Linked DNA regions of Neurospora crassa OR74A. The protein of the gene in region 1 interacts with the protein of each later gene in a biochemical or structural test. Links are inferred from orthologs where the notes say so. Each region holds a gene or a part of one and is shown on either strand. Other genes may lie near its edges.

The links.
Region 2: the proteins of NCU06708 (region 1) and NCU03889 form a complex in vitro, tested with the Saccharomyces cerevisiae proteins (3 studies listed by BioGRID). The link is inferred for Neurospora crassa OR74A from reciprocal best matches to the Saccharomyces cerevisiae genes SEC22 and SFT1.
Region 3: the proteins of NCU06708 (region 1) and NCU01741 form a complex in vitro, tested with the Saccharomyces cerevisiae proteins (4 studies listed by BioGRID). The link is inferred for Neurospora crassa OR74A from reciprocal best matches to the Saccharomyces cerevisiae genes SEC22 and BET1.

Annotation. Positions count from the first base shown.
Region 1 is NC_026505.1:4,345,241-4,355,261, reverse strand, and holds NCU06708 (protein transporter sec22), read right to left. Parts: upstream 5,894-10,021; 5' UTR 5,732-5,893; coding exon 5,698-5,731; intron 5,581-5,697; coding exon 4,961-5,580; 3' UTR 4,587-4,960; downstream 1-4,586. Other genes in the region: NCU06710 (ClpTM1 domain-containing protein), read left to right, coding at 1-1,132; NCU06709 (hypothetical protein), read left to right, coding at 2,720-2,954, 3,168-4,327; NCU06707 (uncharacterized protein), read left to right, coding at 7,017-7,955, 8,013-8,606, 8,669-9,080, 9,135-9,325. UniProt on the Saccharomyces cerevisiae protein: Nonessential SNARE involved in targeting and fusion of ER-derived transport vesicles with the Golgi complex as well as Golgi-derived retrograde transport vesicles with the ER.
Region 2 is NC_026506.1:2,053,293-2,057,399, reverse strand, and holds NCU03889 (SNARE), read right to left. Parts: upstream 2,801-4,107; 5' UTR 2,193-2,800; coding exon 2,058-2,192; intron 1,992-2,057; coding exon 1,830-1,991; 3' UTR 690-1,829; downstream 1-689. Other genes in the region: NCU03890 (stromal membrane-associated protein), read left to right, coding at 1-689; NCU03888 (DUF500 and SH3 domain-containing protein), read left to right, coding at 3,507-3,543, 3,642-3,745, 3,804-4,107. UniProt on the Saccharomyces cerevisiae protein: Vesicle SNARE required for retrograde transport within the Golgi complex.
Region 3 is NC_026502.1:2,578,718-2,589,326, forward strand, and holds NCU01741 (SNARE complex subunit), read right to left. Parts: upstream 6,354-10,609; 5' UTR 6,139-6,353; coding exon 6,125-6,138; intron 5,517-6,124; coding exon 5,192-5,516; intron 5,094-5,191; coding exon 4,887-5,093; 3' UTR 4,389-4,886; downstream 1-4,388. Other genes in the region: NCU01742 (hypothetical protein), read left to right, coding at 2,271-2,306, 2,435-4,045; NCU01740 (histone H2A.Z-specific chaperone chz-1), read right to left, coding at 7,646-7,812, 7,912-7,924, 8,007-8,171; NCU01739 (hypothetical protein), read right to left, coding at 9,011-9,074, 9,161-9,717. UniProt on the Saccharomyces cerevisiae protein: SNARE required for targeting and fusion of ER-derived transport vesicles with the Golgi complex.

The DNA.
Region 1 (10,021 bases):
CTTTGTCAATACCTTCTGGCAGCTTAAGAGTCAGATGACCATCATCAACGAGACGATCAAGACCATGCCGATGCGCATTGATCTAAACAACCTGGCGGAATGGAAGTTCAAGACCATGGCGTCTATCGACCTCAGCGCCAAGGAAGCGGCGCGTGCGGCGGCTTTCGGAAATCCCCTGACCACGGGCAGCGATGGTAGCGAGATCGAAATGATCAAGGAAATCTTGCTGGATTCGAATCCCATCCTCCTCGGAGTCACTATTTTTGCCAGTATTGCGCACATGATTCTCGAAACGCTTGCGTTTGGTTCCGACATTGCTCATTATCGCAAGAAGAAGGACAACGTTGGCATCTCGGTGCGCTCCATCCTCGCCAATGTGTTCATGCAAACCATCATCTTCTTGTATCTGGTCGACCAGTCGCAAAATACTAGCTGGATGATTCTCGGTTCTCAGGGCGTCGGTATTCTCATCGAGTTATGGAAGATTACGACGGTGGTTAACGTGCGGATTCGGCCTGCACCCGGATCCATCATACCATACCGTATTTCCTTTGAGGACAAGCATAAGCTCAGCGAGACAGAGGAAAAGACCAAGGAGTACGATGAGATTGCTTTCAAGTACATGTACATGGCGGGCGTTCCTCTTCTGATGGCTTATGCTATCTACTCGCTGATCTACGACACCCACAAGTCGTGGTACTCATTCGTCATCGCCACCCTTGTTGGCTCGGTTTACGCCTATGGATTCCTGATGATGGTTCCCTCGCTGTACATCAACTATCGTCTCAAGAGCGTTGCTCACATGCCTGGCAAGGCCATGATGTACAAGTTCCTCAACACCTTCATCGACGACTTGTTTGCTTTCACCATCAAAATGCCGTTCCTCCATCGCCTTGCTACGTTCCGCGATGATATCATCTTCTTTATCTATCTGTATCAGAGATGGGCTTACAAGGTCGACTACACCCGTGTCAACGAGTTCGGACAGGGTGGCGAGGATGACGCCGTCGAGGAAAAGAAGGCGGAGGGGCAGAAGGCGGCATTTCATGCACCGACTGAAGAACAGACTGTGGGAACTACATCCGCGAAGGCTAGCGGAACGGAGACTGGCAAAGCGAAGAAGAGGAAGTGAAGCTGACGAAGCACGATATCGGACCCGGTTTGGTATCAATTTATTCATGGGAAATGGGGTTCAGCATCTTGGAGAATGGCGCCAAACATCCCAGCAAAGATAGATCAATGTTAATACAGAATGAATTCTTCACCTGTTGGGGAGCTGGTGCTTCTTGTGGATGCTTGGGTCTTGGATGCACCCACGGCTGATCAATGAGTGATGAGCCTGTATTGTGAGAGATGGGCGTGTGCCGAACTGCAGTCATAATGTCGTAAAAATATAGGGATGTGTATCGATACCTCCATGTAACAGTCCAAAAGTGTCCATTGTTGTACCCACCATGCTGTCGGTCATTCCCGAGCACCTCTGGTTAGGTTGTAGGGCTGAGCCTTTGGTAGGTTGCAACCGTTATCCATTGGGTACCTAGTAAGATACTTTCCCCTCCCCGCCGTCGAAGCTGGAGGCTACAAGCAGAGGTAGATGTCATCGCTAAAAGCTGGTTTTAGGAAACGAAGGGCTTCCTCGGGGAATCCCACCTAAAATTAACGGAGTCGGATGTAGAGAGGCCTCCATATGGGCCTCTAGTGTACCGACTCTAAGCACCTAGGGAGAAATGCTCCCCGCCAAGATCTCCACGATTTCCACGTTTCGCAAACAAAACCGTCCCCGAACCCCCGTCCCATTCATTGATTACCCATTCAGATGCGCTACTACAGCAGGGGGCCTGGCCCTCCCATCACCAACAATACGAGTCAAAATAACCCTAGTTGATGAGCACCTTGCTGTCCTTTTACAGGGTTCCGTTTTGAAGAGTTTGGATGGCACCCGTTGTTCCGCTGCCACACTGCAGCAACTTCTCCCCCGACCTGATGCAGCTTCCTGTGTTGTGTTTGTACGTAGTGGTAAGTACCTACCTAAGGTAGTGTACAAAAAGGCAGCGGACTAGCTTCCACGTCTGCCTGTCTCCGCCAAGGAGAGATCCACAGGGCCCTTCCAATAGCCTAGCAGTGCCCGACATACCTCTAGAGGAGGTAGGTCCCGCCGGCGTAACCGTCGGATCGTATCCAAGCGCCCGGGCCCCGAACCCCCGTTGCACGACGATTCGACATCCATTGATCCATCCCCATTTCCTTCCTGGGCGACCGAGTCTTCCTTCCATGTGATGTTTCGTTCCCTGGCTGGCCCCTTTCTCACATGTCCAACTCTGTGATGAAATCCTTCTTCAGCTCATCCGTACTTACAGCTACCGGATCGGGGCTCGGTGTATCCACTTAATGACGACGCAAGACAACACTTCATCGCTGCGCATTCGTAGATACCTACCTCCTAGACGGATAGTCTCACCTACAAGCCCCCCAAGCTCGACTTCTGTTAGTGACGAGAGTCTCGTTGGTAGTCCAAGTCTACATCCACTCGCGGTCATCTACTGCTATTAAAGCGGCATTGAGCATACGCTAGGCGAGGGGAACCAAGGCCAATAATAAGCGCTTGAACACGACGACACGACGATAACGGCTTAGACAAAGGATATCAACGGGAGGAGGTGGAGGGGGATCCGATATCAAGAGGTCATAGCCAGCAAAGCAACCATCGCCAAAAAAAGATATGAGTACAGGTCCCAGCACGAATCACGACACGGTCGGGTCGCTGTTGGCCAGCATTGCGACTCACTTGAGCGACTCACTTCGCGCACTCAGATTTGCCGACAAGCGCCACTGGGGCCCTGACGAGTTTGAACAGATTCGCGCCCTTGAAGAAGCGTTGGATGATGCAAAGACAGATTTTCAGGAACTGGGGCGCTTGGTCAATGGGCAGTTTTACTATGAAGGAGACAGGACTCGTAAGTATACCATGATATCTTGAATCTTTTCTGACCCTCACCGTGCTCTTTCTCAGACTCACGTCATCTTTCCTCTGCTGGTGGCTGACTATTTCGCCTGGCACTTTCACTCACACGCCTCCATCACCATCATCATCACTCCTTTCCTTCCCAAAAATCCCACTCAGATAAAGCTTCTCCTTGCCTGCTCTACCAACTAACCCTCTCAAAAAGCCGAGTCCCTCAACGAATTGCGTGCCCTCCTGGTCAAATATGAATTCCACGCCCGCAACTACAAAGACTGGATTCGGCAAGGTGGGCCGATCAACCCAACTTGGCTCAGCGAGACCAAGGAACTCCAACTAGAGCTTCACCGCACGCAATGCCGTGCCTCTCGGCGCATATTCGCGGCCGAGCAGGAAGGGCCGTGGACACGGTGTCTGGGTGCCTACCAGGTGTATCGCCAGCAGCGAAGAAACGAGGAAACTGAGCGGCTACGGAAGCAGAAGGAGGAAGAGAAGCGGGAAAAGGAGATTAGGGAAGGGGGAAGCAAGCAGAGGGACCTCGAAAGTATACCGCCGTGGCAACGACATGAGTATCAAGATCAGCAGCATCCGCAGCAACAACAACAACAACAACAGCAACAACAAAACCGTACAGGGACAACGGACGAGGCATTACGGCCGGCGTTGAGAAGGGGGAGGAGGCTAAGCCTTGAGGATCTGGTTCCATGTTGCAACGCGGTTGGGAGGTTCGAGAGGTTTGGGGAGCACGACGTGGCCTTTGTATGCGACTTTTGCGACGGGTTCATCGTCTGGCCGGATCTACAGAGGATGCCATCTACGAGGGCGGCGTTGGATAAGACGAATGGAGGGAGTGCAAGTACGACAGCAAGTTTCCCGACATCAACGACGATAGCGAGAAACTCTCCAAGAAAGCTCATACTACCGACCATAGTGACGGCCTCATATCCAGCAGCAATTCTGCCATCGTCAACCATCACTACCACCACCACCACCACAACAACAAAAGAAGCACAGACAGAGACAACAACAGCAACAGAAAACACATATCCCCACTGGCAAGCCCAAGGCGTAAGCGCCAAAACAGGCGAAGCTAAGACGGTCGTTTTCGCGCCCTTAGCAATTGCGAACCACATTGCCCCCGTCCCTGGCGATTGGCTGGCGAGGATATGGTGTCCCTACTGCGACGAATACACGTACGTGGACCAGGGTGAGGACAGCGAGGACGAGGTCAAGTGGGCACAGGACGAGAGGGGGTTCGAGGACTTGGCCAGCTTCCAGGAGCATTTGGAATGGTATCATACGGCGTTGCCGGTGCCGAGTATACCGGCGTTATTGCCAAAGGCGGCGGGGAGTTGTTTGATTATGTGATTGAGGCTTGCGGGTGCGTGTGCGGGTGGTTCAAGCTTGGGCTTAGTGTCCAGGGTGTCGGTTTATGTTCTGGATTGAGAACAACAAAATTGAAAAAAAGAAAAAAAAAAAAAAACGGGTTTGGAATTGGAGTTTGGGGGGGCAAGAGCTTCTACTTCAAGTAGGGAAAGAGACCGATAGGCTATCTCAGATGGAGATTTTGTATCATCGCTTGACAGAAATAGCGTGTCGAGCAGAAGAGATGCCGGTCTGGAATGAACCAGGAGATACGCATGATTGAGCATCGGTGACACTGTGGTACAGTCATCCATAGAGACCTTGTCAGGCTTTAGGAAGGCATCGGATGAAGGAGTGGAAAGCAGGAACCTATAAGCAACATGTCTTGATAGCTGAAACCTCACCTGGCCAAACGTCCTTTTGCGTTTGCCCCCCTTTCCCCCCAACCTCCTTTACCCAAACTCCATGCTAGGTCAAGCGCCAAAAACCAATGCCCTACAAACACATATTAAAATAATTACAGAATCCACGTAGGCTATCCGTCACAGCATCATACAGAGCCAGGCTGACTGAGGAAACCCACCCGACGGTATCATGCTAACCCGCTACCGGTGATGCTCCCTGCCTGGGATGCACTCAAAAGAAGAATCTCCACCACAAGAAGAAGATGATAATGGAACCGACCGCCGCAAAGGGGCCGTACTGCTTCAGCAGCAAATCCCAGTTGATCTTAACAGCCGCCCTCTTGTACTTCTTGCTATCGTCCCTCAGCCTACTGCTCAGCTCGCCCATGCGCTCCAGGCTGTCGCCGCGGTACAGCAGATCCTCAATGTTCTTGGTCATGACTTTGGTCACGTCCCTAAGCTCATCATGCAGCTTATCCAGGTTCTGAGTCGCACGCGTGTCGCTGTAAGTCGCCTTGGTGCGGCTGATGAAGCTGTCAAAGTCCATAAAGGCATAGGGCCGCAGCGTCGGGTTCATGAGCTGTGCCGGGGTGTGCGTCGTCGCGAACTCGCCCGCAATGTCGGAAAGGTAGGTGAAGGCTAGCTTGCGCGGGTACGACCGGTCCGTAATGGCGAAGTATACGATGTCGGACTGAATCAGGTAGTGCAGCGTGTAGAGAGAGCCGCTCTCGATGCTGGCTTGCGGTTCCGAGGTGCGCGTTAGGCGGCGCAGAATTAGTTTGACTTGGGACTTGACTTCGCTGAGGGAGGATTCAGTTGCTTCGTCGTCGACGGAAGCGCAGAGCATGAGGCCTGTGTTTTGAGGGGAGGGGTCTTGGTTAGCTACCGGACAAGACATTGACATCTCCATAGGCACACAGATGTTGGTCGAGGGGGTTAGTTAGGGGGGGGGGGGGGGGGGGCACGAACCATCCAGCCGTGCAATTTGTGTTGAGCGGATCATTGTGAAGAATAGGTTATATCACTCCTTTTTCATTGTGTTGTTTTTGGCGACCTTTAGTATCGTTGTGCAACTCGAAATCAAGGCCAGTTCAGTTGCGTGCTTGGATTTGTTAAGTTGGTGTCGTTGGAGAGGACAGTGAACAAGGCAAGGTTTATAAAAGCTTGTGATGACGAGTGGGAGTGATCCGTCAAAAGCAGCCAGGTACGTGGCTTCTACCTAGGTACCGCAACCAACTCGCACCGACGAATTCTCTTGTTCAATTGCATGCTTCTTTCCCTGTCGACCAGCAGACCAGATTGTAATTCGCTATCCTCTTTCTTGTTTTTTTTTTTTCTTTACATGGCTATATAAAGAAAACAAAACATTACCCGTAGGTAGAGTGATGCAATGATTTCGCCAGGCCAACGTGTGTTTCCTTATCAAGGATTACAAGTCGTCAAACGGGACACTGATGACGGTACTGCCGCTGGAAATGTGTTGAAAGTTCACCCTGCAGGGCCTGCAAGTTAGTTTTGTTTAGGTAGTTAAATAGTGCGAGCAGGCAGTCTCGCCCGGCCCGCTATTCACGCCTACTATGCAGTATGTACAAGCTACCTCTAGCTTCCGGGGTGTGTCATGCAAGTGGCTGCCCGGGCTTGGCGCCTTTCAGCTTCCATCCCCACCCATCCTGTCCATCACACAACGACTTGAAGAAGGAGCATCTTCAACCGAACAACATCGGGGAAGGGGAGCTGGAGGTGGAATATCTACCTACTTACCTAGAGGTACCTATCATTCATCACAGTCAGTATAATCCCCCTCCCAGTTCAGAGTGGTGGTTAGATCAAGTTCAGTTCCACCTCGTTCCCTCGCACATCCTCCCAACCTTGCGCGTCAACTTGTACTCAAGGTAGTACCACTTCGGTTCGTTTCGTTGACCACATTTTCACCTGAACGCATCTCATTCTCTACTTTTATAAACCCCCCACTTTCTCCCCTCCCTTCCACCAGACATCAGTTTGTTCGCAGATGTAACCACAGCCATATTGGCCGCATGAACCATCATTGACTTACGAAAGACAAACGGTGACTTTCACGGCGCCATTCTGCCAGTTTCTGCTATCTGGTATTGTTTAATATCACAACAACTAAGTAGTTCCGGATCTGTCTAGATCCAGATCTGACTTGACGGTAATTTTTCCTTTGCCGGCAAACCCACACTGCCGCGTTCGATCACTCCTTGAACAACTTCAACACGCAATAATTATCTTTCCAGAAAGGCGACTAACTGAAGGTGTCCTGAAGGATGGCTGAAGAAGGAAGTAGTTCTCCGCTGTCCTCCGTCCTCTCTTCTCCTCCGGCCTCACCTCCCCGGAGCGTGAGTGGGGACTGGGATGCTATCCTTGTCCAAAAGATTGATACTGCTGCGCAGGTGACTTTGGAGGAGATAGCAGCCGAAAAGTCAACGGTCGAGGAACCAGCAGTTGAGGAACCAGCAGTCGAGGAACCAGCAGTCGAGGAACCAGCAGTCGAGGAACCAGCAGTCGAGGAACCAGCAGTCGAGGAACCAGCAGTCGAGGTACCAGCAGTTGAGGAACCAGCAGTTGAGGAACCAGCAATTGAGGAACAAACAGTCGAGGAACCAACAGTCGAGGAACCAACAGTCGAGGAACCAACAGTCGAGGAACCAACAGTCGAGGAACCAACAGTCGAGGAACCAACAGTCGAGGAGCCAGCAACCAAAAAGACAGCAACCAAAAGGTCAGCAACCAAAAGGTCAGCGGCCAAAAGGTCAGCAACCAAAAGGTCAGCGGCCAAAAAGCCAGCGGCCAAAAAGCCAGCAGTCGAGCAAGGATATGTCAAGGAGCCAGAGGTTCAAGGACCTGAAGAACCTGAAGGAGAACCGGCCACGCCGTTGGCGGCACCAAGTGCTTGCCCTGAAAACAAGACAGAATTTCGACCATCTGATCAGTTAGAAGCTCAGCAACCAGAAGAGAAAGGGTCTACATCCTGGGCCGCCATAAATCTCCCACCACCGAAACTACGATCAGTCAATAAACCAGAAGTTCCAACACGTGAAGAAGAACCAATTGCTCCATCAGCTGCGCCAAGTTCCGTTCCCAAGAAGAGAAAATCATTGCCTGAAGCAGTCAGTTCTAAAGAGGGTGTGGCTGATTCACGCAATATCCTCAAACCAAAACTGACGAGGGGCGCGTGTACTCCTTGCCGTGAGAACAAGCTGAAGGTTGGTCGGAAACTCTGGATATTCCCCGATTGTTTTTGTGTCTGACAGCTGCGATAGTGCCTAAAAGAGAAGCCAATCTGCTCACGATGTTCTGGATCTGGCACGCATTGTGTTTATGCTTTTGAACAGCCGCGAAAAGGAGTTTCAGCAGCGGCTCGCTCAGTTTCGTTCAAGGCTGAGGCCGTTCCAGCGGATGTAGGCGAGCCAAAAGCTTTGAGTCCGCAGGATGCGCATGCGGATTCGGCAGTACAGGACCTGGAAGTTGAGAAGGAAATCGCCACACCGGCAATTAAAGCAGCAACAGTCGCCGATTCCTCGATCAATGGACAGGGCTTCAAAGGTCCGAAAAATGAGGACCCAAGTACAGTGACGAAAAGGGCACGCAAAAGGGCAAGTGGGCAAACGCCAGAGGAAGCCGTCCTTAAAACCGATGCATGGAGTTCGAAAGCTACACGTCATTCTGGAAGCAGTGATGAGCAGCTGGGTACTGAGCTCGGAAAGCGTAAAGCCTCGGACCAGGACAAATCTAGCACTACTAAAAGGCCACGACATGCCGGAGATGCACCAAAGAAAACAAACCTGGACAGAAAGTGGGAAGCACCTTTCGTCTATACCGATGAGAAATCACCTCTTACCAATGCTGATCTCAGAGTTCGTACCTCTTCCCTCTCACAAAAATTATCCCACATCCATGATCTGACACTTGACCATAGGCGATTCTGCTGCTTCCACGAGCATGGGATGTGTTGACACCAGATGAGAGGAAAGACATCCTCGCTAAATTCCCCGACGACAGCCATATCTTGGACCCAGGGACCGAGATTGCCCGACCGGATCTTGTCTCCTTGCGCAACAACGATCACTTCAGATATGATTGTGCTCGGTACCTTGAAAACATTGAGCGGGGTCGACATGATGAACAATGGCTTCAGGAGGCCTGGGTCGCTCATGAAAAGCACAAACGAGGCGACTATGACGATTTTCTGATAAAGGAGTTTGAGAACGACTGGGCAACAAAGATACCAGCGGAGTTGCTCCAAAAGACCAGCCGTAAGAATGAGACGCTCGCGGCAGATGCTGTAGCAGTGTCCGAGAACAAGGCAATAGCAAAGGAACAGCATAAGGGTAAAGTTGATGTTCGCACATGATGACAATGTTTTGATACTAATCGAATGCCAGCTCTTCCTGGACGCATCAAGAGCGCTTCAGTGATACAAGAAGTACCTCCTGCCGATACAGCATCTGTTGTTATGGCCGAGACGAATACGAACCATATCGCTGATTATCACCCTAACGGCCTTGAAGAATCCAATACGAATGGGGCACGGTATACTGAACTACGGTTCGAAGTACCACACGAGGTTGATTGATGCTTCTGCAAAGCAATAGAACACAGAATACCAGCGAGGAAGACGTATTCCGATCTTTGTCTATGACGGGTCCCGACTTTGAAGCACCGCCGTATTTACCAGTAATTAATATACCACCCCAACTATGAAGGATGTACAGATCTCAGTCACTTGAACGAACTAGGGCGGTAATTCGGGAAGCGTAAAGTGACCACAGTCGCAGGATAGAGATCCAGGGCTACGAATGCATGATAATATTTGGAAGAGCGCAATTTACGGCGGAGAAAACATACGTAGAGTCAGGTTTATGTAGTATCCCACCCTTTCTCGGCACCCTATTTCGGAAACATGGACAACTGAGCGTTGTAACACGGAATGAGGCCGGAAGAGAGAATCACAAATCTCTGTTAGTTCCAAGAGGTTTGATGGATAATTTACAGTACCCATTCAAGTAGGTAAACGAGTAATACCAAACGACAAAACTTCGCGTATGCAACAATGACTAGGGCACTCATGGTAACCAAAGCTTGAACGCCTCATCTACAATGTTGATAAGCGTTCTTATATGTCAAGGTTAGTATATAGGTAGCCGAGATTGCAGCAAATTGTAACAATCACTACGACAGTTGTTCACAACTGTAATTCTTCCGTAGTATAGTGGTCAGTATGTGAGCTTGTCAAGCTTGAACATCAGTTCGATTCGCTCGAGACCCGGGT
Region 2 (4,107 bases), on another chromosome or scaffold:
TTTCCGGCCTAAGCGGTGGCAGCTTCTTCGATTCCAAGCCCGCCACATCCTCCCACCAATCCAAGCAGTCCATCAGCAGCCCACTGGGCTTCTCATCAACCCCTCCTCCTGCGCCAGCCTCTAAGCCCGCGCCCGCTTCCTCCGCCCTCGGTGACCTGTTTGACTTTTCCACAACAGCTACTGCTACTACCGCTCCTCCCTCGGCCGCCGCCCCGAAGCCTTCATCTGACTTCAGCTCCGCATTCAACCTTTCCAAGCCCGCCGCAACCACGCCGGCCCCTGCAGCCGTTACTTCAACAACACCAAACCCTCTTGCCTCTATTGCGACGTCTAACGCCTGGTCAGATGCAGGTGTATGGGGTTCCAACGAGTGGGCCTCCGCCCCTGAGCCCCCCAAGCCTGCGGCTCCTGAACCGCCCAAGCCAGCACCTGTTACCTCTATCCCTCTTTCTAACGATTTTGGATGGGGCAACAGCACCACCACCTCCTCCACTACCGGCGGCTCCTTCGCAAGCCAACCTATTGTCCCCAGCGCTTCGGGCGGCTTTGCCCCAGCACCAAAGGTGGCGGCCGATGAGGAGTTTGGGGGCTGGATGAGCAGCACTACCACACCAGCTGCTCCGAGCGGATCCAAGCCGGCTACCGGTTTTGGTGGCAGTGACGACCTGTTCTCAAACGTCTGGCAATAAGAAACCTTAGAACGACAATTCAGGGATCTCCGACATGGGGTTCAGAGGTAACCGAGTGCAGTCTACTGGGATTTTTGCTGTTGTCCTCGCGCCTGATGCCGACCATGTAAATATATAATCAACCGGCAGGTGATGTGAGAAATAGCTCGGACAAACTTATACCAAACCAAACCAAACCCATCAAGCGTCCGAACTTGTTTTTCCTTCTATACCACCTGACTGGAAAGGGGATGCTATCCACGAACACCATGTCGTACTTATGCTGTGGGAGTCTGATCTAGTTAAGAGTTAGGCAAATGATGGTTTATGCGTGACAAATAGGGGAATGATGAACAACGCAGTCATTCTTACATCAGCAAGTCATGTTTTGTTTTGGCATATTTACATTATAGACAACAAGTTATTGTTCGTTGGTAGGGCAAAAGTAATGCACTTTTATATAGGATCCTCCTATCTTTTGTAAGGTGTGTGTTGCCCTCATTAATGTCCTTCTGATGTCCTTGAAGTTTCAAAATGAAAAATCAAGGATGAGACTGAGAAATGTCGATGTCTGGCTTATACGACACGACGTATCAATGACAACCTAAGGTACGCAGAAACCAAATCCCAAATAAACAAACAAAACCGAACCGTCAACGCCATTGCTATGCCTTTGCATCTACCCGTCTGTTGTCGAGACAAAACATTAAGCCCAGTCTGTAAACCAAAATCCACACTTCGTTCAGAATCCACCAAAACACAGACCTACGGTCCTGCGTGACCTGCTACCCTCCCACCCATTGCCCCACCCTACATTGCACCTCCTCTGCGCAATACTAGTAGCGGCTTTTGTGGGAGCAAGCGGACTGCACATCGCCTGTACCAGCACTCCAACATCCAACAAGCTATCCGGACAAGCTCCATCCTGTCTTGATGTCCGGCTTCGCACGCATCCGTCTTATCATTCCTGATATTTGTCGGGAATCGAATCGTGCCGCCCTCTACATCCTTCGCCCTGTGTTGTTGTAGTGAACCCGATGAAGAGAACCTCCCTTCCTTTTGCTTCCTGGCATGTATTCGCATGTCGAAGTTCAATAGACCCAATAGACCCAATATTCAAACGACTTTAGCCCTCTCACACGTCGTGACTTTTTGAATCATTTAACCAACAAAAAGTCGATAAAGATAGTAAATGACCAGGAAGCTCCCAATAAGAATACCCGAGAGCTTGAGAATGGCGACCTTGTTCCCCGATGCGGCCATGCGGCCTAGACGGGTGGCGGAACCTTTGAGTTGAGAGCCCATGGAGGAGAAGGTATCGGTCTGTTCGTTGTTGGTGGGACTTGTCAGTTTGTTATTTTGTGCAGAGTAAAATCAAAGGAACCGTACCGTTTGGTCGATAACTTCGTGGTTGCGCGCCTGGTCGTAAATGTCAATCGTTACACCTCGAAGGGCAGAAACCTTGGAGGCTAGCTCGTCGAGGCGCGCATTATTTTGGCGCTCGCGCTCGTAGTTTGCGGACATCTTGATAATGGTAATGGGGGGGGGTTGTGTTGTGGTCGTAGTTGTATGTTGCGACTCGCTCAGCGGCCGTGTGGGAGGTTCACTCGTCAGTTTTGAGTATCGGGTTAATTGGAACTCGCTGATATGGCCCGAGTTTCGTATTATCGAAGATGTTATTACGTGTTATTTTGTCGCGCGCGCGGGGGTCGGCTTCGGTGTCTTGCAGCGTCCGTTGTTCGGAGTGAAGCCGTGGTGTTCCTAGGTATTGCTGAGTGCTATGGGGATGTCAAAAGGGGGTAGGTTGTAGCAGGTTCCAGATGCACTCAGTTCAGGGTCACAATGAAAGGACACCGGGATCATGCATCCATCATGATGGGGGCGGCCGGCTCACTGCAGCTTGTTGATGCATACACCAGCCACAGCTACGGCCTCCTAGTCGCGAATGATGTCAGTTTCGGCCATTTACGTGTGGCTGCGCGTAAAGCACATGCATGGTCAATGCGGGGTCTTTTTCGGGGGGAGCGGAGCCTGCTGGAGCCATTTGATTGTGCTCGTGGTCGGGCCACTGCAACTTTGGGTCCCGTCAGTCAGTCACCTACGTAACGACGAACGCCCGCTCTGCTCTGCCCGCTGGACAAGGCCCGGGTATTCAAAGTGGAAGGTGCAGGGCGCAGGGACGGAGTAAAGTAGAGAAGTAGAGGTACAGTAGTGTACGCTACTGCACAGCCCACGGCGGCAGTGCTTGCCCAAGCCCATCCCAGCGTCTCCAGTGATTGAGGGTCCAGTGCTACAGTTCTCACATGACGCGCGGCACGAGCTCCAGCTTCCATTTCCAAGTACTTCCATTTCAAATGTTGACTGTGATGAATTCCATGCCACTGTTTAGCCTCGCTCATCAGTTACTCCGATCTGTGAAGAAGAGGGAAAAAAACAAACTCTCAAACGGACAGTTACACCAACAAAAGAGCACGCACAAAGGCTTATCCTCCGGGAACAAGATCGTTCATCACGAACAACAAGTGACCCCAAGGATCTCCCCAGCATCTTGACAAACCGCCGTTGTGGGGACGCCCAGGTACCAACCTCGCATTTACTATGTACACAAGAAATTGACCGGGCTGATCTGCTTACTTGCTTGCCTGCCAGTGTGCCTGCAGGCATTGATCGGCCAGTGTCCCGAGAAATGACTGACGAACTCCATCTCTTTCTTTCTTTCTAATATTTCGCTGTCGCTGTCGCATTTCCACGGCATTCTCACCGCAGCCGCTCTACACGCCCTCGCCCTTCAAGACCCGCGCCAGTCCGCTATAGGGAGTTCCGCTTCGACACTTCAAGATGGGTATCAACAACCCTCTTCCGTCGTCACTTTCGTGTGAGTTTGTGTCCCCGGGGTTCCCGTGCTGTGCGAGCCCGACCCCGCAACTCCCCTTCGCTTCGCCGAATCCGACATCCTAACACGTCTGTAACCAGCGGAATGTAAGAAGTGCGGTAAAATCCTCGCCTCCTTCATCGAGCCCAAACAAGCCTTTGGTCCCGACAAGGTGATACCGCCATCAGTGCTCGCGAATGCCAAGGTACGAAACAGCATCCGCAACCTCAACGAAAGCGACCAGGTGGTTAACGTTCTCCTAGGGTCTTGCTATACTCACCGTCATCAAAGCTGGTTTCCTCGGATCTGCCCGTTTCGGTAGCGGCCTGGTAGTCGCCCGCCTCCCCGACGGCAGCTGGTCTGCCCCCACCGCCATTGCTACGGGTGGTGCCGGCTTCGGCGGTCAGATCGGTTTCGAGCTTACAGATTTCGTTTTCATTCTCAACGACGCGAGCGCCGTAAAAACCTTCGCCCAAGCTGGGTCACTTACACTTGGTGGTAACGTTTCGGTCGCGGCCGGGCCTGTCGGTAGAAATGCCGAGGCCGCCGGAGCCGCTTCGCTGAGAA
Region 3 (10,609 bases), on another chromosome or scaffold:
GGAAGGAAAGTTTGTAAGGTGACGTCTGTGCATCGCTCCTTTCTGTAGTGTCAATGGGCATATTCAAAGGCGGGGGAGCAGCTGTTTTGGGGGGGGGGAGGGAGGGGGGTGTCAAAATGGGGCACCATTTACCCAGCGAAATCAGACAGGGGACCGTGGTATTTCATGGAAAAAAGAAAACCAAAAAAGAAAGGCCGTGAATAAAACCCGTGATGGTGTCCAACCGAAACGAGGGAAGTGGGGGTTACCTACGTACTCTTTTTCGCAGATGGCACTTGAACGCGGAAAGAAAGAAACCAGAGATGCATTGACTGAAAGACAACCGCCCGCGCCGGCTCATTCGAAGCAGACTACCTAAGCTAACAGTAGTAACCATTTCAAGTGGACGTATCGTACGTATCTGTTTCGAGGAATTCCCTTCTTCCTCTTTCGAACACCTGATTCCGGAAACTTGCTGCGCTCTGACGGGAATATTGGCAGAGTCATCATCGAGCTACGCAGCCTTGGCGTTTTCTCGACTTCACACCACCCTCACCACATTCAACAAGGAGTCGATTATGCAAAGACCGACCGACATCGGCAACCTGCTACACAACGCCCCCGGACTTTGAGTTTTGAGGATGAACCAGCCGGAAGCGAGCCAATCCAATATCGATAAACTTGTATTCTATACAGCCTGATAAGCTCGACGCCCATTCGCAACACAGAGTAATGCCTTTCCCCCTCGTTTAGGGCATCACAAAAGACAAAGTAGCATGGCTAACAGGCGCGGGCATCCTCAAGGCATTTCTACACTACACTACTGTATAGCATCACAGACAATAACTACCCACTCTGCCCTTCGACAGTGTACACTCGCGAATGAGGTCGGAACAGAAGCATTAGTGCGAATAACTTTCAATGTGCTTCCGAAAACTCCCGATAATTCAAGCGCCCGAGCGAAGAAGTGGGGTGCGCTAGCTCCTCAGCTAGTGTAGGTCGGATGTTAGACGTTCCCGCTCAGGAAAGGAAAAAAAAAAAATAGGATGGAAAGGCGCTAACATCTTGCACTACCACATACAAGCATTTTAACAGCATGCAGTAGTCTAGTGTAACATAGTAAAGACTGCGGTAGGGACAAGGGTCATAGACCAGTTCGCTTGAAGTCTCTCCGATTACCTCATGAAAACTAGTGTACTACTTTACATACATACTATGTACACTAGATGGCCCTGTCCCGCCTGGAGCTGTTCTCTTTTTTTGTTCTTTGCTGTTTGCGATCTGTGTGGCTGGCTTTCCATGTCTGACCAGAGACGGCCACCGGACGAAACCAGGAGATCGGCGCAATAGCTTCCAGACTTTTGAGAGCTTCGTGACTTCTGGGTCGACAGCACCTGTTTATCTGATGAAATCCTACCTCTATGTAAGTGACTGTAGTTGGTGATGGTCAGCAACTTGCCGGGTATGAGTGTGTAGTGACCCCCCAAAAAAAAGCCCCGGTAATAACGCCATGTGCAGAGTGGAATGAGCGATCTTGAAGCTGAGACGTTCGGACGTTTGGACATTTGCTTTCCAGCGATGGTAAAGGCTCCTGTGTGAACTGGTCAATGCAATCAGACCGAGTAAGTAAATAAGTGATAAGTGTACCTAGAGGTACCTAGAGGTAAGAATGATGAGTCCAGTTGTTCAGGTTCCATGAAATGCTACCTAACAAGATCACTTCTTAGGGCAGCAGCAGCAGCATGTGTACTTCTACATAGCCGCATCCGATCGTGGGGTAAAGCTCAGATGGGGTACCCTACGTACTCACCTGTACACTACACGTACACTGCGCATACGTGCTGGGCACTATTGTACCGCTGCTGTACCTTTAAATACATAAGGACACGAAGGTTTGCTAGGGATCTCATCCAAAACATGGACCGTACTCTGGAGAAGCTGAATTCACGACAATGCACTTTACCACCGCTTAGGTTGGTTAGACGTCAGATCGTAGTGTTCCATACAGAACCAGTAAATCCATTCATCCTGATCTATCATACCTTTGCCGTTTATCCACCGGCATTCATTGAACAACCACAGCATCATCATCACCGAACTTCCCCATCAACGCGCCCTGGATAGCCTCGGAACCTCACGTTAAACTTTTCGCCTACATATACACAGCTAAACCAGGCAAGACGTCGCGGTCCCAGTCGCAGCTCAAATTTTGCATGCGATACAATTAACGATCTTCCAACCAACAACTCGAGCAATCCTGCAACGGAAGGCTCGTTAACGACAGAGCCAGTATGTTTTCCATCCTCCCTGACCTGGCCCCGCGCGATGTAAGTCTTGATACCTTATCTCTGTTCTGCTCTGCTCTACTCAGCCCTACCATTCCCACATCACACCTGACCCCTCCAATCCTACCTAGCACTCAATTTGCTTATCACTGCTAACGCCAGACAAACAGTCCCACTCCCTCTGGTACACCTCCTCTCGCAACCCTCTCGCATCCTCAACCTCCAACCTCCTCTCAGCCTTCGACCCATCCTCCTCCTCCACTTCTCCAGAGGGTCTGATTACTACCAACTCACAAACCAGCAACGTTATCCCTGGGACGACCACTGGCAGCAATCACGTCCACGGCCACAACAGCCGAAATGCCTCCCGCAACATTCAAGCCGCCATCATCGAGCGCTCCCTGCTCGGCCGCCTTCGCGCCGACGAGACGTACATGGAGCGCCGCAAAGCCAACGTGAGCAACCTGGGTAGTACCTGGCTGAAGCCACTTGGTGTGAGCAAGACGTTGTTCCAGATGCGCGAGGAGGAGCGCGAGAGGCAGGAGCACGAAGAGGCGATGCGGCGCGAGGAGATGCTGGCTGGGGAGCTGGCGGAGGCGGAAGCGGCTGCTGCTGCTGCTGCTGCTGCCGGTGGTGGTAACATCGGTGCTGTTGTTGGTGTTGGTGATGGGAATGGGACTACGGTGTTGGAGGAGGTTGCTGGCGTGGAAGGAAGGGACGTGGGAAATACGAATAGAATTTCTGGTGGTGCTGATGATGGTGACATGGAACTGATGGGGGGTGATGATGACATGGATGAGATGGGAGGAAGGGATTTGGACGAGGACATTCCGGATGCGGACGAGGGTGGGTTTGGATATGATGGGGCTAGCGATGATGACAACGAAGAAGACGAGCAAGAAGAGGAGGAGAATGATCAAGCAGAGGAAGAAGAAGAAGAAGCCACCACCGAACGAAACACCACCACCGGCGATCATGGGAACGACGACGAAGACACAGTCGAAGCCCCACAAGCAGCATCAACAGCAACGGGCACCGGCTCCTCCATCCTCCATCCCCGCGGGCGCAACGACAACAGCAATATTCACCAGCAGCAACAGCAACAGCGCGAGCTAGCCAACGTGCGTGCCAACGAAGAACGCATGCGCGAGATGATGGCCCGCGGTGGTCTCCGGCCCACGCACGTCAATCTAACCGATGGCGCCGCAGACGAAGACGACGACGTTGACGAGGAAGACCAAGCTCACATGCTAGAGGAGGACGACATCATCGGCTCTCACAACAGCGGAGAATATGCGGACGAAGACAGAGGCATGACGGACGACAGTCTAGGCATGAACGCCAACCTAGATGACGACATTCCAGAGGCGGACGAGGAGCGTGCGCAAAGCGGTTTCTATGAGCATACCGATTCCGAGGCGGAGCTTCTTGACAGCAGTGATAACGAGGGAGGACAAGAGCAAGTCGGTACAGGTGCAGGCATCGGCATAAGCAGCAGTGGTAGCGGTGGTAATATGAGCGGCAGTCACAGACGCGCTCACCGGGTTAGCTACGGACCTGGTTCGGCAGCGGGATCAGCGCAGGGCCAGCATCGCCGCGTATCACTGCCAAGACAGCAGCAGCAGCAGCAGCAGCGGCTGTTGAGGACTAGTCTTGCGGGAAATGCCAGGCGGAGCACAATTGGAGCGCCAAGGAGCAGTCTGGATATCAGTGGGCTGTTGTCTGTTGATGAGAGTAGTCCCATGATGAGAAGCAGTCCAAGGGTGAGGAGGTTGCACTAGAATGAAGGTCCGCGGTGGTTCGGAAAGAGAAACAAGGGAGGATTAAAACTGAGGAGTTGTGGTAGGAACGGTCAGCAAGCATCATTCAATAACAGGTCGTTTGAGTCTGGCGCATGGAGTCTTGGGATCATGGCAGTATGGGTAGCTACTTGGTGGCTTGGGAAGCAGGATTGAATAGATAATGTCCGTCAAAAGACAACTTTGATCTTCGTTACAGCAATGGTCTGGTCTATGCAGTGGTAGTCTACACGCAGTTCTGATTAACTGTCTGTTATACGCTCAATGATTATCCACTTCACGTTTGTGGGAGCCCATATATAGCTTCATGATTGATCAGTGGATTAAACCAGATAATTGAACCTCATTGGTTGGAGAACGGATTAAGAATGATTAAAATAATTAGGTACCACAAAAAAACCAAAAAAAACCGACTTCTGATACTACCCGAACGACTTAACAAACGCGAACTCCCCGGCGCCAGCATGCAAAAACCAAGTCCGCCCGCAATCTACCAAGGGCAACCCATATCCATGCCTTTTCTATCCCACAAGGTAGTCAGCCACTTTGACCTAGAACCTTCCGTTTTCCTCATCATCCATTGGTATTACCCATCGTTAAAGCCATATATATACTATCCCATCTTTCCTTTGCATATATATGGTCTCTTTTCTCGTTTCCATCATTCTTGAACATATCGCTTTGCCCCGCGCAGCAGCAGCAGCAGCAGCAGCAGCAGCAGGAGGACCACTCCGCCGACCAACATATCCCTCCATCTTTGTCTTTTTCTTTTCTTTCTTTTTCTCTCTTCCAAGTTCAGAAAAACCTTGACCTTGGAAGGATACTAGAGATACCTCACGTAAAAAAAGAGGAACACCACGGCAGCGAAAAAGGCAAGCCACACCCTCCACCCGACATTGGTCTTCTGTGCCATGATGAGCATTCGGTTCATGGTACCACGGAGTCGGAGGCGGGTTTGGTCGAAGGATTCGTTCATCTTCTCGGCGAGGGCGGAGGAGTCTCGAATTTCATCGCCGATGGCTATAGTCATCTGTTTGTGGGGGAGGGATGGGGTTAGTTGATGGGTGGCTTGCGAGAGAAGGAAGTGGGAGAGAGGGAGGAGAGCAGAAAGAGAGAACAAAAACATACATCCTTCAAAATCTTGACTTTACCCATTATCCCTTCCACCTGCTCATCATTCTGGCTCTCGAGTTCGTTGAGGACTGCGTCGCTGTACTGGCCCCTTGAATTTGGAGTAGCAGGCCTAAACCCGCCCCGTTCCATCCCCAGTGTTGACGAGCTGCCGTTATAACTCCCACCGCCACCATAGCCGCCCCCGTACCCGTATCCGCCGCCACCGCCATACCTTGCTGGGCTGGCGTTGGCCGAGCGGCGCTCGGCTGCGCTGGAGCCAGAGTAGCCCTTGAAAAGGTCGCTGCGCGGGTCGCGCTGGTGTAGAGAGGAATGTGCAAATCTGTACTCCGGAGAAAAAGAAAAGCGGACTAATTGTTAGAAGGGTGTTGTCTTGTCTTGTTCGAAGGATTAAGGGGTTGGTGGGATGGGGGTTGTGGTGGGTGGTCAAAGTCGAATCGAGGACGACCCGGGGGCATGGTGGATGGATCGAGTTGACGCTTTCGGTTTCGCTGTCATTCTCGCTCTCGTCGCCAGTGCTGCTGTGGTTGCGCCGCTGTTGCGACTGCATCACATCACGGTAGTGAACTCGTATCGTATCCTACCATGGCATGGTTGGAGGCGTGTTGGCGAGACTCTGAAACCAGAGCGATGACGTAGTTGAGGCCGTCGCGCCATGACCAGGGGGGGCAGGTCGAGAAATCGTGACTTGTCAAACCAACCACCATAACATCGATAGCTGCTGCCTTTGGTCCGCAGATATCTTCCGGTGGCAATATCGTACACCCGTTCACCGGAGCCGGGCAGCTCGGTCGGCCGCTCGCTTCATCGCGTGTCGGTCGTGGGTTTGGTCGAGTTGACAGGCCAAGTCGCATTTCGAAATGTGAAAGGTGGCATTTGCGTGTGGTGTGGTGCAATGCTAAGACGAACGTACAAGAGAATCGCACTCACCTGGAAGCCATCATGGAGAGCAAATTTAGGTCGATCCGTCTTCGAGAATCCTGACAGGTAAATGCTAGCTAACTTGTAAGAGTGTGGGTAGGTATTAGAGATGATGAATTGGCAGGTTCCATAGAGGTAGCGTCGGGCGGGGGGTGTGCGGGTGGTGAAGAAAGAAAATAAAGTTGAATGCCCGTGGACCCTTGGCCGCCAGCGCCGGCAGATCCCCCTTTTTAGTTTGGGTGGTTGTTAGGCCTGTTCTGGCCAGATGTTACCTTGGTGCGCCGTCCATGTACATAAACTACAACGTCAGTCCGTGTCTGGGTGATACATATGTAATGGCTAAAAGGTACAATGTTGTTCGTGCCGCATGATGCTGACAAGGACACGTTGATTGAACATCTGGGTTGGTGTCACGTCTTCCTCTCCGAGAGAACTTGACACTATTTTCCCCAATGTATCTGGTTTTAATCATTCAATTTTTCTTTATGTCGGAGGGTTCATGTTCGGCGTTGTTCAAAGTCCCTCCGAGAGGTGCCCGTGTTGCTTCCACTGATATTGGCTAATTGGGCGTTCAGCGTCTCCATTCTTCCTCTACCTTTTTTTTTTTTTTTTTTTTTTTTTTTTTCTCTCTCAGCTTGTCGCGTCAGCAATAAGTTGATCCACGTTAGATTGCGCAAGGCGCATAGACTCAAGTATGGACTTATTGAAGCGAATCTAAGCCCAAATCCGAGACTTTCAGAATCGTTGAAGCTTTCCAAGTCGAAGGCATGCATTCTCACAGATGTTGGCGTCAAAGAAGCTGGTGTATGGTACTGCGTAGAATACCCGGTGGATCAGGCCAAGATCGCGAACCTTGTTGGTGGCTGGTGCGATGCTCCGGTTCCTGACGTCTGCTGTGTACTCCAGGAACAGGACCGATATCAAATCTCGATGGTCATAGCAACTCTAGAATTCGCCGGAATATTACCTTTTCATAGGTCAGCCGTAGACATATCACCCCCTTCAGGCTGCCTCGCGGTTAGTTTAGTGGCACCCCATCTCAACAGGCCAACTGCCCTTGAGCTGACAGGGGAATCATCCAATGTCTCCACTTATGGGGGTTAGGTTAGTGAAGACAAGCGATCAAGCGTATTCTGATACACCAACGTACGTAGTATGTTGATACTTTGAAATTGGCTGACAGAAGAGATCGGTCTACCTGAACTGATAAACGAATGATCACTTACACCCTTATCATGTATTGCCAAATTCTGATTGTGGGAACTCCCAACGCATTGAACCAAACAACCCCAGGCCTTATAGCTGACATTCACGTACATAAATAGGTCCAGCCAATCAGGCTTAGCAATCAGCCAAAAGACGGCTTACATCTCCAAGCTCGTGATCATCATAAAACTCAACCACTGGCAGCGAGCAAAGCGCAGAGCCAACGGGGAAACCCAGGAAGAAAGAAAACAAGAATCTGTTGTCATTGTTGTTGTTGTTGTTGTTGTTGTGAACCATCAAAGGAAATCAGAAGATAGCCTCGGACTACTCCTCCATTTCCTCATCCTCGGGCACAAACTCCTCGTCGTCCTCCTCATCGTCCTCCTCGGCAGGCAAGTCCTGAGCGGCCTTGGCATAGTCGATCTCCTTCTGGCGAGTGCGGGGACCACTGATCACATTGCTGGGGTCGATCTCCTCGAGGTTGTCTTCCTCTGTTTTTGTTCATGTTAGTTCCTGTACGTAAGCTGTTGCTGCGCGATCGTCACCCGTGATTGGGCGTTGGCTGATGGATTTAAAGGCAATTAACGTACCAGCTTCGGGCTCCTGCAAACGGAAGGGTTAGCACGGACAATGCGAAGAAGAGTGTTTTGAGAAGCAAGTTTGATGCCTTCAGGATTTAGCTCACCTCAGTCTCATCCTCATCTTCATCATCCTCGTCGTCCTCTGCCTCACCCATGGGGTGGTCCTCGGACTCAGCGGCGGCCTTGCCCTTGCCCTTGCTTTCAAAGGGGGTGTTGGCCTCGGCGGTGCCCGCGAGGGTGGTGTCAGTGGTACCGTTCTCGGTGGACATTTTCGAGATGGATTAAGTAGCAAAAATGGTGATTATTGTCTTTCTTTGCGCGTTGGCGATGGCAGATGGATCCGATCAACAGATTCCAAAAAATGGTTATTAGTTCTTGTTAATGAGGCTGAACGCGACCAAAAGTTGGGTTTGTCAAGAGAGAGTTCCTTTCGCTTGAGAGGTGAAGTCAAGTGGGGGGGAGAAAAGTTCCGAGATGTGATGTTGGGAGTTGGTGGTGACTTCCAAGGTGAAGTTGAACTGTATGGTCCGTTGAGAGAGCGACGAGGGCAGGCGCGCGCAGGGCAATGACATGGGAGCAGCGAACAGCTTCCAAGTACCCACTTTCCAATTATGAGGCGGGCAGCTAGCTTTTGGATCCACTTGCCATCTGGCAGTGGGGCAGTGTGCTAGCCGCGCTAAACTGTATTGATAAGTATCGCCACTAGCAGACAGCTGTTGACCACGATGCAAGGGTACCTCTAGGGGCCGTGCAGCAGGCAGCTAGCAGGGCTCCTTGCTTCGGCACGCAGCGTCCCCGTCCAACCTGCCAGACACTGACGCAAGGGACAGAGGAGTCACCAGCTGGAAGCTCGGTGATGAGGAACGCGACTGAATCGGAAGTCTCCCTGTACTACCTCTACAGTACAAACGGCCCGGTTATGAGAAGAGTACCTAAGTAGGTAAGGTAAGGGTTTCAAACACGACAGGACGGCGAGGAGCACTGCGAGAAAAATGGCAATCAATACAACCAAAACGCGCGAAACGAACATCCTCACCCAAGAGATGAAATGCATAGCAAAGCTCTGTACAATGCTTGACCAGGGAAGGAAAACAATGTGGCCAGTCTATTACTTCCCATCGCCTCCGCCTCCCAGGGAGAGGACCATAACAATGGCAATAACCCACCAGTACCTGTAGTGCAGCAAACCAGCTCGTCAGCAATCAAAGCCCTCATCTCAGTGGTATCAGAACGTGGGAAGGGAAGGAATTCAATATACTTTTGTAAAAGTGTCTTCTCCTGCGGCACCACCTGTTTGCCCTCTGGCGACAGCACGACCGGCTTGTTCAACTCCGGCTGCTTGCCCTGCGCTGTGCGGACCACCACCGCTTGCGGCCCAAAGTCCCTTGTCTGTCCGGCATCGATCCTGATGCCCTTGAACGCGACGCCCAAGACGTGCTGGTTGTCATAGCTACCCTCGGTATTGCTCTCGTCCACTGATAGCACGATATGTGGCGCGTACCCCTTGCCGAAGTTTTCTGCCGATATGACCGACGTAGACGACACCCACTTGTTTTCCGCCTTGTCGTACACGCCGATACGTAGGAGCTCGTGGCCTCGCAAGTCGTCGAGGATCTCAGGCGCTTCGTAGGCAGACACCACCGGTGCTACCGCGCTGCTTGGGTCTTGTGCGGTGTCGTAACTGACTTCGGCGAGGAAAGATGGCACAGAGGAGGAGCTGACGGGCTGGATATAGATTGGAACGGTGATGACCTGAGCCGTTGCGGCCGTTGCGGCGACCAAGAGCGCCGACGCAAGCGACGCGAGAAGCCTCATGGCGGATCGAGGATTGTCGAGAGCTTGTCGCCTGTGTGGTTGCTACAGTCTTCCGAGATAGTTTTTGCTTCTGCTTGGAGGAGACGCAGATAGTCACCAAGTATGAATAGTGAGAAGATGCTGCTATCGCGCGAAGAGAAGCGGACAACTTAAGTCATGAAGAATGACGAAAATGGAGCCACGACTGGAATGCTTGGGCCTCAACTTGTGCTGTGGGTGTCGGTCGTGTAGTAAAAGGTGGGTCCCGGTGTTGACCCTTGGCATAGGTTGCCCGTTTCTGCGGGTATTGGAAGCCTGGTGGGGTCTTCATCCGGTCCAGGACCGATCACCAGGGGCAGCGCCGGTTGAGAGGGCCCGACATCCGGTCTATATTGGCGGTTTGGACTTTCGGTACGTCCTGAATCGACACCGATACCGTTTCTGCCCGGATCAGTGTTATAAGACGTATCGATCAGGAGAGAAAGACATCTGAGTAGAAAGAGGAAATCTGTTCTCAGTGGTATCTACCAAAAGTGCTATTCCTACAAGAGTGCCAGGTAAAGGAACAGCCCATTCAATTCCCCCACCCAAAAAAAGGTTGCTGGTTCGCCGCGGTGCTTCATAGGATACACCAATCATCTCATATCTGTCATGCTGTCATGATCTCCCTCTCAATCCAGGCGTTGTAACTCGAACGTAGTGTTTGGAAGGGACGGGAGCAATACTCTTCCAGCTTGAGTCCTTGCTGTCTTCGATAACCAAGATCACATTTCTTCCAATGTGTCCACACCCTCCATATAATTCCCGTTATCTCCATTTGATATCCCATTGCTTCCTTCCCGCAGGCAGATTGCCCTCAGACAAGCCCCGACAATTCAACAGGCGCCTCAAGGTCTTTTGCTTTTCCGGCAGA